Linked DNA regions of Arabidopsis thaliana. The protein of the gene in region 1 interacts with the protein of each later gene in a pairwise test. Each region holds a gene or a part of one and is shown in the gene's direction. Other genes may lie near its edges.

Evidence for each region.
Region 2: the proteins of AT1G33080 (region 1) and EMB3135 interact in a protein complementation assay, tested with the Arabidopsis thaliana proteins (one large-scale study listed by BioGRID).

What each region holds. Positions count from the first base shown.
Region 1 is NC_003070.9:11,983,521-11,987,825, forward strand, and holds the start of AT1G33080 (MATE efflux family protein), read left to right. Parts: upstream 1-2,129; 5' UTR 2,130-2,231; coding exon 2,232-2,504; intron 2,505-3,609; coding exon 3,610-4,151; intron 4,152-4,305. Other genes in the region: AT1G33070 (MADS-box family protein), read left to right, coding at 1,264-1,561, 1,655-1,779.
Region 2 is NC_003076.8:3,829,252-3,833,556, forward strand, and holds EMB3135 (harpin-induced protein), read left to right. Parts: upstream 1-2,248; 5' UTR 2,249-2,518; coding exon 2,519-3,382; 3' UTR 3,383-3,900; downstream 3,901-4,305. Other genes in the region: AT5G11880 (Pyridoxal-dependent decarboxylase family protein), read right to left, coding at 1-84, 189-691.

The sequences.
Region 1 (4,305 bases):
TATGTAGAGGAATTAAATCTTCTACTTTACTCTGCTTTTTGACTTTTCAAAAAGAAAAAGATTTTTTATTTACAATAGAAAAGTATATTACATTACATAATACACAATCAAATTTCATATTTCAAATAATAATTCAGTAAATTTTGTAATTTATTACAATATCTTTATTTAATAATTATTTTGTTTCCAGCACATAAAGTATCTACAATACTATTATTTAATAAAATAACACAAAATATTATGAATATTTCTGATTTATAAGAAATAAGGTTGAATTTTGATGAAATTCAAAGTTATTATATTTCACATATAATCAGGTTACCTAAAACACGAATATAACATATGTTCTTAAGTTAATAACATTATCTAAAAACTCTTAAAATGATCCAAAATGTCAACTGTAACTCATAAAACGTTAATGTAGATTTTAGTACAAATTTAAATTAATATATTTAAAAGTTTTATCAATCATAATTATTATATATTTTGGTGATTTTTAACAAAACTTAACTAATCTTTCTTTTTTTTTGTAATCAAAACGCAAACTAACGAAACCAATTGTGAAAATTTTGATTTACAATATTAAAGTATACATAATTTATTAAAAACATAACAAAAATAACATCATTGAAAACCTTTATAAAAAATATATAACTAAATGCTGTGACTACTTTCCTAAGTTTCTCTCAAGTTTTTTTCAAGTTTTGCTCAATTATTTATTTGGTAAATTATATGCAGAAAAACAAAACAATTCCACAACTTTTTCTCAAGGTTTTTTTTTTGTGTGCTCATAATTTATAAATTGAAATTAGAAAGATACATGAAGATTAGGCTTCATCGGAGAAATCCGAGTAACAAGTTCGAAAATTGAAAAGCTTAACCATACATAACTCAAACATAGAGACACGAACTGCAGTAAGCTTGATAGGGGAAGAAGTGTCGAAACTAACTAACACAAGCATGCCCATGAGGAAGGGACGGATAACGAAGAAACTCCATGAGTTGACAACTCTCTGCGAAGTCAAAGCATGTGTGGTAACCTACAGTCCGTACGAGAATCCAGTGGTGTGGTCGTCAACCGAAGGTGTTTAAGAGGCGGTTTTAATGTTTATTAAAAGGCCGGCGATAGAACGGTCCAAGCTGATGATGAGTCATGAGACCTACTTGTAGAACCAAATTACCAAAGAAACAAAGAAACTGGAGCGTCTACGTCTTGAAAACCGAGAAACTCAGCTTACACATTTTATGTTTGATTGTGTTGAGGGTAAGATAAGTGAGCATCAGTATGGTGCAAGGGACCTTCAAGATTTAAGTTTTCATATTGATCACTATATCAATCAGCTTAATTCCAGGGTCAAGATCCTTACAAACAATGGTGAGTCTTCTTCTTCCGTTCCTCCTCTACTTCATACTTCAGTTGCGGGTGCGGGTGCAGCTCCTCTTCCTGTTGCGGGTGCCGATCTTCCGATGGATCAGAATCAGTATGAGCCGATTCAGCTCTATATCCCTATTGGTCTTAGTTATCATATTCAATACCAACATGAAATCTATGATAATTTCAGTTTGGATCCAAATCATTAGTATCCGTTTCAACATGATCCACTCATGAATATGTTGATGGAATATCCTTATCAACAAGTGGGTTATGTTGGAGAGCATGCGCACATCCTTTTCATGAACGGAAACTACTACAACTACCACCAAACACCAACCGTTGGTCTTACTACCACCGGTCACATGCCTTCCAACAACAACACCACCCCCACCACCGATGTGTGATGTGTTTCAATAGTTTGCATTTTTGTTTTGTTCGTTTCAAAAAACCTTAAACTCTTACAACAATTAATTGGATTTGGTTTGGTTATAAAAGATGTGTCTATTCAAACACCAACTTTTGGTAAAATATTTGTAGAGGCCATACCTCGCTGTGATATATATTTCGACTATCTCATCCCATTTTTTGGGTGATTTGTTCAAAACTAGCTATGTCTTTTTCGGTATGCAATGTATAAATGTAAATGTAATTTTGACAAATTTTAAATTTTATTTAAAATTTATTTATGAAAAGTATTCATTTTGCATATAAAATACCAATTTGGCAAATTAAAGAATCTTAAAAAGAGGTGTAGGCCGGCTTTTCATTTCCTCCGTACGTAAATAAACAACCCACCAAACAAAAATCTCTCCTCGCTCCATGCCTTCTCTACTCTCTCTTCATTCTCTCCTAAGCTATGGCGAGAAGAGAAGGAGAAGTGACGGAGACCCTTCTGAAAAAGTCGACGGAGAATCGCGGAGAAGATCGGGATGGGTTAGGGATGAAGGAGAAGGTTTGGAGGGAATCTAAAAAGCTATGGGTTGTGGCTGGGCCGGCGATCTTTACGAGGTTCTCCACGTCCGGACTATCTTTGATAAGTCAAGCTTTCATTGGCCATCTTGGCTCTACCGAGTTGGCCGCTTACTCCATCACTCTCACCGTTCTCCTCCGTTTTAGTAATGGTATCTTGGTGAGTTTACTATAAGTCTATAACGATTAGATCAGTTCTTCCACACACTCTTTACTACAAATTCGTAAAACATAAAAACAATTTTTTTTTGTTTTAATAACTATTAATATATGTTAAGGATTGTTCTGATTAGTTTGAATGATATAAATCGTACTATATAAACGGTGACGTGAATGCTTAGATAGACTTCTTGTGGGAACTTGTTTTGGTTGATTTGTCAACCAATCATAAAAATTCACAACCACTCAACTCTTTGCCTTTATGAAATGAAATTATGCTATTTCTATGTATATAAGATATTGAATGTTTGGAAGGCATTGTTGGTCGTATACTCTTCGTTTATTGTTAGTGTAGTTACCTTTTTCACATAAACAAGTCTCAACTGAAACTCCATGAGTTTTGATTATTACATCAATTATTATTAATGGTTGGAAATGCAACAAAAACATTTCATTGTTAAGTAGAATCAGTGGGTAAATACAAAATAGAATAAAGTTTAGAAAGTTGGAGAATATAACAAACACCTTTAACCAAAAAAAAGTTGGAGAATATATTGATTTTATAAAAAGTGAAAAAAAAATATTGTAAGAAATGACAAAAAAAATAAAGGAATAGTCAGAAGATTAATTTATATTAAGACAATATATTCCCTTTTCTTATTTGTACTCCATAGTGCAACAAAGATAACATTGTCAAGAAGTATAGCGAGTCATTGGCCACAAATGTCCAATGGTCACCTGCCAATGCCATCGTTTTCTTAATGTTTTGGTCTTTAATTAGCATATCATGTGTGAGGTTCGAATTTATAATATGAAATAGTGCTTTTAAAATGTTATTAGACCATTGGACATATATTCAGTTACACCAAAAAAATTCAATACACAATATATGATCTCTTTACCAACAAGAGTTTATAGGTTATATACATTTTTTAGTTATCAACATGCAATATCCAAGTTTAAAGTTTAAATATTATAGTTGTTTATATATAAGCGTTTATCAAACCTACTTAGTTCTTGTTTTATAGGCAAAATATGTAAAATATTTAACCATAAAATAGTTTTTTTTTGGTGTAATAACGAACCGTCAATGAAACAATATGCAGTTAGGCATGGCTAGTGCGCTAGAAACACTATGTGGTCAAGCCTATGGAGCAAAACAATATCATATGCTTGGGATCTACCTCCAAAGATCATGGATCGTCCTCACAGGCTGTACCATTTGCCTTATGCCCATCTACATCTTTGCAGGCCCTATTCTCTTGGCTTTAGGTCAAGAGGAACGCCTTGTTCGTGTGGCTCGGATCATAGCTCTATGGGTCATAGGCATCAACATCTCCTTTGTGCCTTCCTTCACTTGCCAAATGTTCCTCCAAGCTCAGAGTAAGAACAAGATCATCGCCTACGTTGCTGCTGTTTCGTTAGGAGTCCATGTCTTCTTGTCGTGGCTTCTAGTGGTTCATTTTGATTTCGGGATCGCTGGTGCCATGACCTCTTCGCTCGTAGCACATTGGTTGCCTAACATTGCGCAGGTTTTATTTGTCACATGCGGTGGATGTACGGAAACGTGGAGAGGATTCTCTTGGTTGGCTTTCAAGGATCTTTGGCCCGTTTTTAAACTATCTGTATCTTCCGGTGGCATGATTTGGTATGATTTTCTAATCTTCTCACCTGGTAAAAGTATCAACATCCATCAACGACATAAGTATATATTTACTAGTCATACAAATACTTTTGTAGACCATGTGGTTGTAATCATATATATGAAAAGTTGACCAACTCTCTCCAAATGATTAACACAT
Region 2 (4,305 bases), on another chromosome or scaffold:
TCACTATCAACATTTACGAAAACACCTTCTTGAGCAGCTAGAACTAAATCTTCCAAAGACTTTCCATTTCCATTGAAAATACACCTATTCATTTCATCCACACCGAAGACATGGTCAAAAACTACACATCAACATGAGACCAAATAAAAAAATATTCAAACTTTATTATTGGGGATAAAGAATCGTACTTTGTGGGATCGAAACCAGCAAGAAGAGCAAGCCTGAGCTCATTTCCACTAACCAACACAGCACCACAGCCCAAACTCCTCAAATGCTCCAAAATCTTGAGATTGTTATTAGCTTTAATAGCGTAACCAATAACAGATCTCACTCCTTCCAAAGCCTCTTTATAAGCCTCAAGGTTTCTCGTGATCTGAGGTTTGCTATATAAGTAAAAGGGTCGTTTCTCGACTGTTTCCATGATATCTTGAACCTTGGTTCCTTCGCAATAGAGAAACCCATCTGATGATTTCTTGAAACAGTGGTCGAAAGAGGAAGCAGATTCTTTCGTGAGGGTTTTGGTGGAGTTTTGGGAAACGGCGGCTTTGACGGAGAGGCGTTTAAGTGGCTTCAATGTTGACTTGAGAGACAAAAATGGGATTCTTGAGAGTGAAGTCTGATTCAATTGGTACTGATTTAGGGTTCCGCGGATTGATGAAGGTTGGGAGAGAAATTGAGTAACTGCCGCCATGGCTGGAGGATTTTTGTTAGGTGTGCGACTGTTACAGTAACACTGAAGGGTTTAGAAAAAAAAAGTCAACAAGTTTAAGAGTAGTTCCTGTCGGGTCCGGTTTTAGATATCCGACAATATCGAACCGGTGGTTATAGTCGAACCGATGGTTAAAAGAAGAAAGAACAAAGTCGATTTTAACTTCTTTTGGATATGGTTTTTGTCCTTGGGGGATAGTTTCTGCTAGTGTTTGTTTTGTTCGGTTGTGTTAGTTGTGTGTTGTAATAATCTTGATGCTTAAGGGGTCACCTAAAGCAGTCATGGAAATCTAGCCCTATCTATAAAAATTTGCCATTTCTCATCACCTACCAATACTTCTATTTGTTCGTATTATGCGGATATTCAGAGGATAATGTAAAACATTTTGTTGAATGCTAACGATGAAGTGCTCTATCTAGCCGTGCACGTTGTGGAGAAGTTATGTTTTAGAATCCACATTTGTTGAAGTTATGCTTATCATACTCTCTTAATTATCTATATCTATTACAAAGAGCAAGGAATGTTCTTAGTTAGGATTTGTTTTGTTTGGCAACCATTGCTTCTGGTTATTTGTGCTCTGCCTCCTTTGTAAGTTAGGATTTGTTTTATTCTTACAACTTTGCTTCTCTCGTCATACTATATAATCTCTGACTATGTATGTAATTGCATTCATGTCGATGGTTGTGGGATGTATATTTAGGTGTTTGACTGTAAGACGTTAAAAACAAACTTTACCATAAGTTATTGGGATGTCTAGACACTTTTATGGTTTGGTGAAGTAGGCTCAATGTTTTGCCCTTTATGTTTCCATTGTTGATGTTTATGTACCTTGCTGGTTGGAACCACTTGTGGATGTTTCCGACAATGCTTCTCTGTAATGCAGTTATCTTTTAATGAAATGTGATCGATCTTGAGTGTTATTTATTTTTATTTTTTTAAAGACTTTATGGTGTGGACACTTGACCGGGTGATAATTGGTAACTATACTACATAGTTAGAGAGCTCTTGAATTATTAATCACGCTAAATCTTGGGAATTGAGAGCTCGGAAGCAAAGGTTATTAACAAAATTCAAAGCAGAGCAGCATTGCCGATGAAATAATTATTGACTTGGGATTTACTCTCTGAAGTCTGAACCAAATCGAGATTATTCTAATTATATTTTTAATTTCGGATCCCTAATCTATTAATACTCCAATATCTGCACTCATTTAATTATTTCCTCTTTTTTTAACCTGCACTGACTTAAATTCAAACTTATTTCAATTGCGTGCACACTTTAGTGAACTACTACCACTATCACTATATGTGTCGGTGGATTATTATTTCCGTCATTTTGATATTTAATTACATCTTTAATTGTTACTCTTTTTTGCCCATTCTTCTTCTTCATTTGATTACATTATACTCTATTGTGAATTACTAAATTCTGAAAACAAGAAAAATTTGAGTACACAGGACACATCTTAGTATTACTCGTTACTAAAATACTACACGTGTAAATAATTTTTTCAGAAATAAATGGGGCCACTTTGTAAGTAATAAATCAGCTTACATTAATTATTTTACCACCCAATAAAAAGATTCCACAGACTTGGCATGGAAGTCATGAACATTCACAAAAATCTAAGAAAAACTGAAAACCGAAAAAAAAACAAATTATTAAAAAGCAATAAATAAATAAACTCAGAAAAAAAAGCTATTAAGATTCCACAAAAACTCTGTATTGTCTCTTTCTCTCTCACTATCTCTCTCTCTTTTGTGAGCTCAGATCTGACCAGAGAGAAAGAAACAACCGGAGAAGAAGAAGATGACTGACCGAGTCTTCCCAGCTTCCAAACCACCAACCGCCACTAATGGAGCTCCACCAGTTGGTTCCATACCACCTCCTCCAGCTCCGGCGACTGTAACCAGCAACGGAACAACAAACGGAATGGCTAATCAGAAACCTCAAGTCTACATTCCAGCTAACCGTCCGGTTTACCGTCCACAGCCTTACAGTCGCCGTCATCACCACCAATCTCGACCAAGCTGCCGACGAATTTGCTGTTGTTGCTGTTTCTGGTCGATTCTGATAATTCTGATCTTAGCTCTCATGACTGCAATCGCCGCCACCGCGATGTACGTGATCTACCACCCTCGTCCGCCGTCGTTCTCCGTCCCGTCAATAAGAATCAGCCGCGTGAACCTAACAACCTCCTCTGATTCCTCCGTCTCTCATCTCTCTTCCTTCTTCAACTTCACTCTAATCTCAGAGAATCCAAACCAACACCTCTCTTTCTCTTACGATCCTTTCACCGTCACCGTTAATTCAGCTAAATCCGGTACGATGCTCGGTAACGGAACTGTTCCTGCTTTCTTCAGCGATAACGGTAACAAAACTTCGTTTCACGGCGTGATCGCTACGTCTACAGCGGCGCGTGAGTTAGATCCGGATGAAGCTAAGCATCTGAGATCAGATCTGACGCGCGCGCGTGTAGGATATGAGATCGAGATGAGAACTAAAGTGAAGATGATAATGGGGAAGCTGAAGAGTGAAGGAGTAGAGATCAAAGTGACATGTGAAGGATTTGAAGGAACTATACCAAAAGGTAAAACTCCAATTGTAGCTACTTCTAAAAAAACTAAGTGTAAGTCTGATCTTAGTGTCAAGGTCTGGAAATGGAGTTTCTAGAGGGAATTTTGATAATTTCACAATTGAAATTTTCTATATAATCTTCTTCTTTTTTTCTTCTGGATTTTGTGAAACTTTTGGAATGATCCAAAAGGAGATTTCTTCAGTTGTTAGTTAAAAAATTTCAGAGAAGAGTCAGAGAGATAAGGTATTGTCAAGTAGAAGAAGGCCAGAGAATTCACGGCTTCTAAAAAAATTTCTTGGATTTTTGTTTTGTTTGGAACTTTCTTACTTGAATTTATATTTAATGGATACAGAAATATAAATGTAATACTTGTAACGAATGGAGTACTAAAAAGCTGGAGATTGCAGTGACTGCGTGATAGTGAGCATTAAAGTGAGATCGTAGTAGTAATAAACAGAACCTTAAAAATGGAAAAGATGCGTGGGGTTTGTGAGGAGAACAATGAAGAACACGAGAGATGTGTTAAATGTTAGATGTTGAACCATCTATCGCATTATACAACACCATTTAAGAGAAACGTGAATCGTCTTTAGTACTCTATAAAGCAAGCATATATTCTAGCAGTTGCATGTTATAAAATTAATACAGATCGATCACTCAATTCATGAATATGGTTTGATATAAACATTAAATTAAATGTCATGCTGTCATAAAAGATGAATTATATGGTTCATTTATCTAAGAAACTTTTTATTAACTAAGTAAGTAAAAGTTTGAAGAGGTCATTTGCAAGTGACTCCGACCAGGGATAGACTCCTGAAATCTTATCCAACTATGGACGACGACTTCATGTCGGTGTGTCCAAAAATGAGGAAAAGGAATCTGCCCAAGGGACAAATGGCATTACCCGAAACGGCAAAGAAGAACCGCAGGAAAAAAAGTTGACAATAACGTATGAGGTGTGACTGAAAAAGAAAAACTTGTAGTTTGGTTTATGACGTAAATGAATAATTTGGAA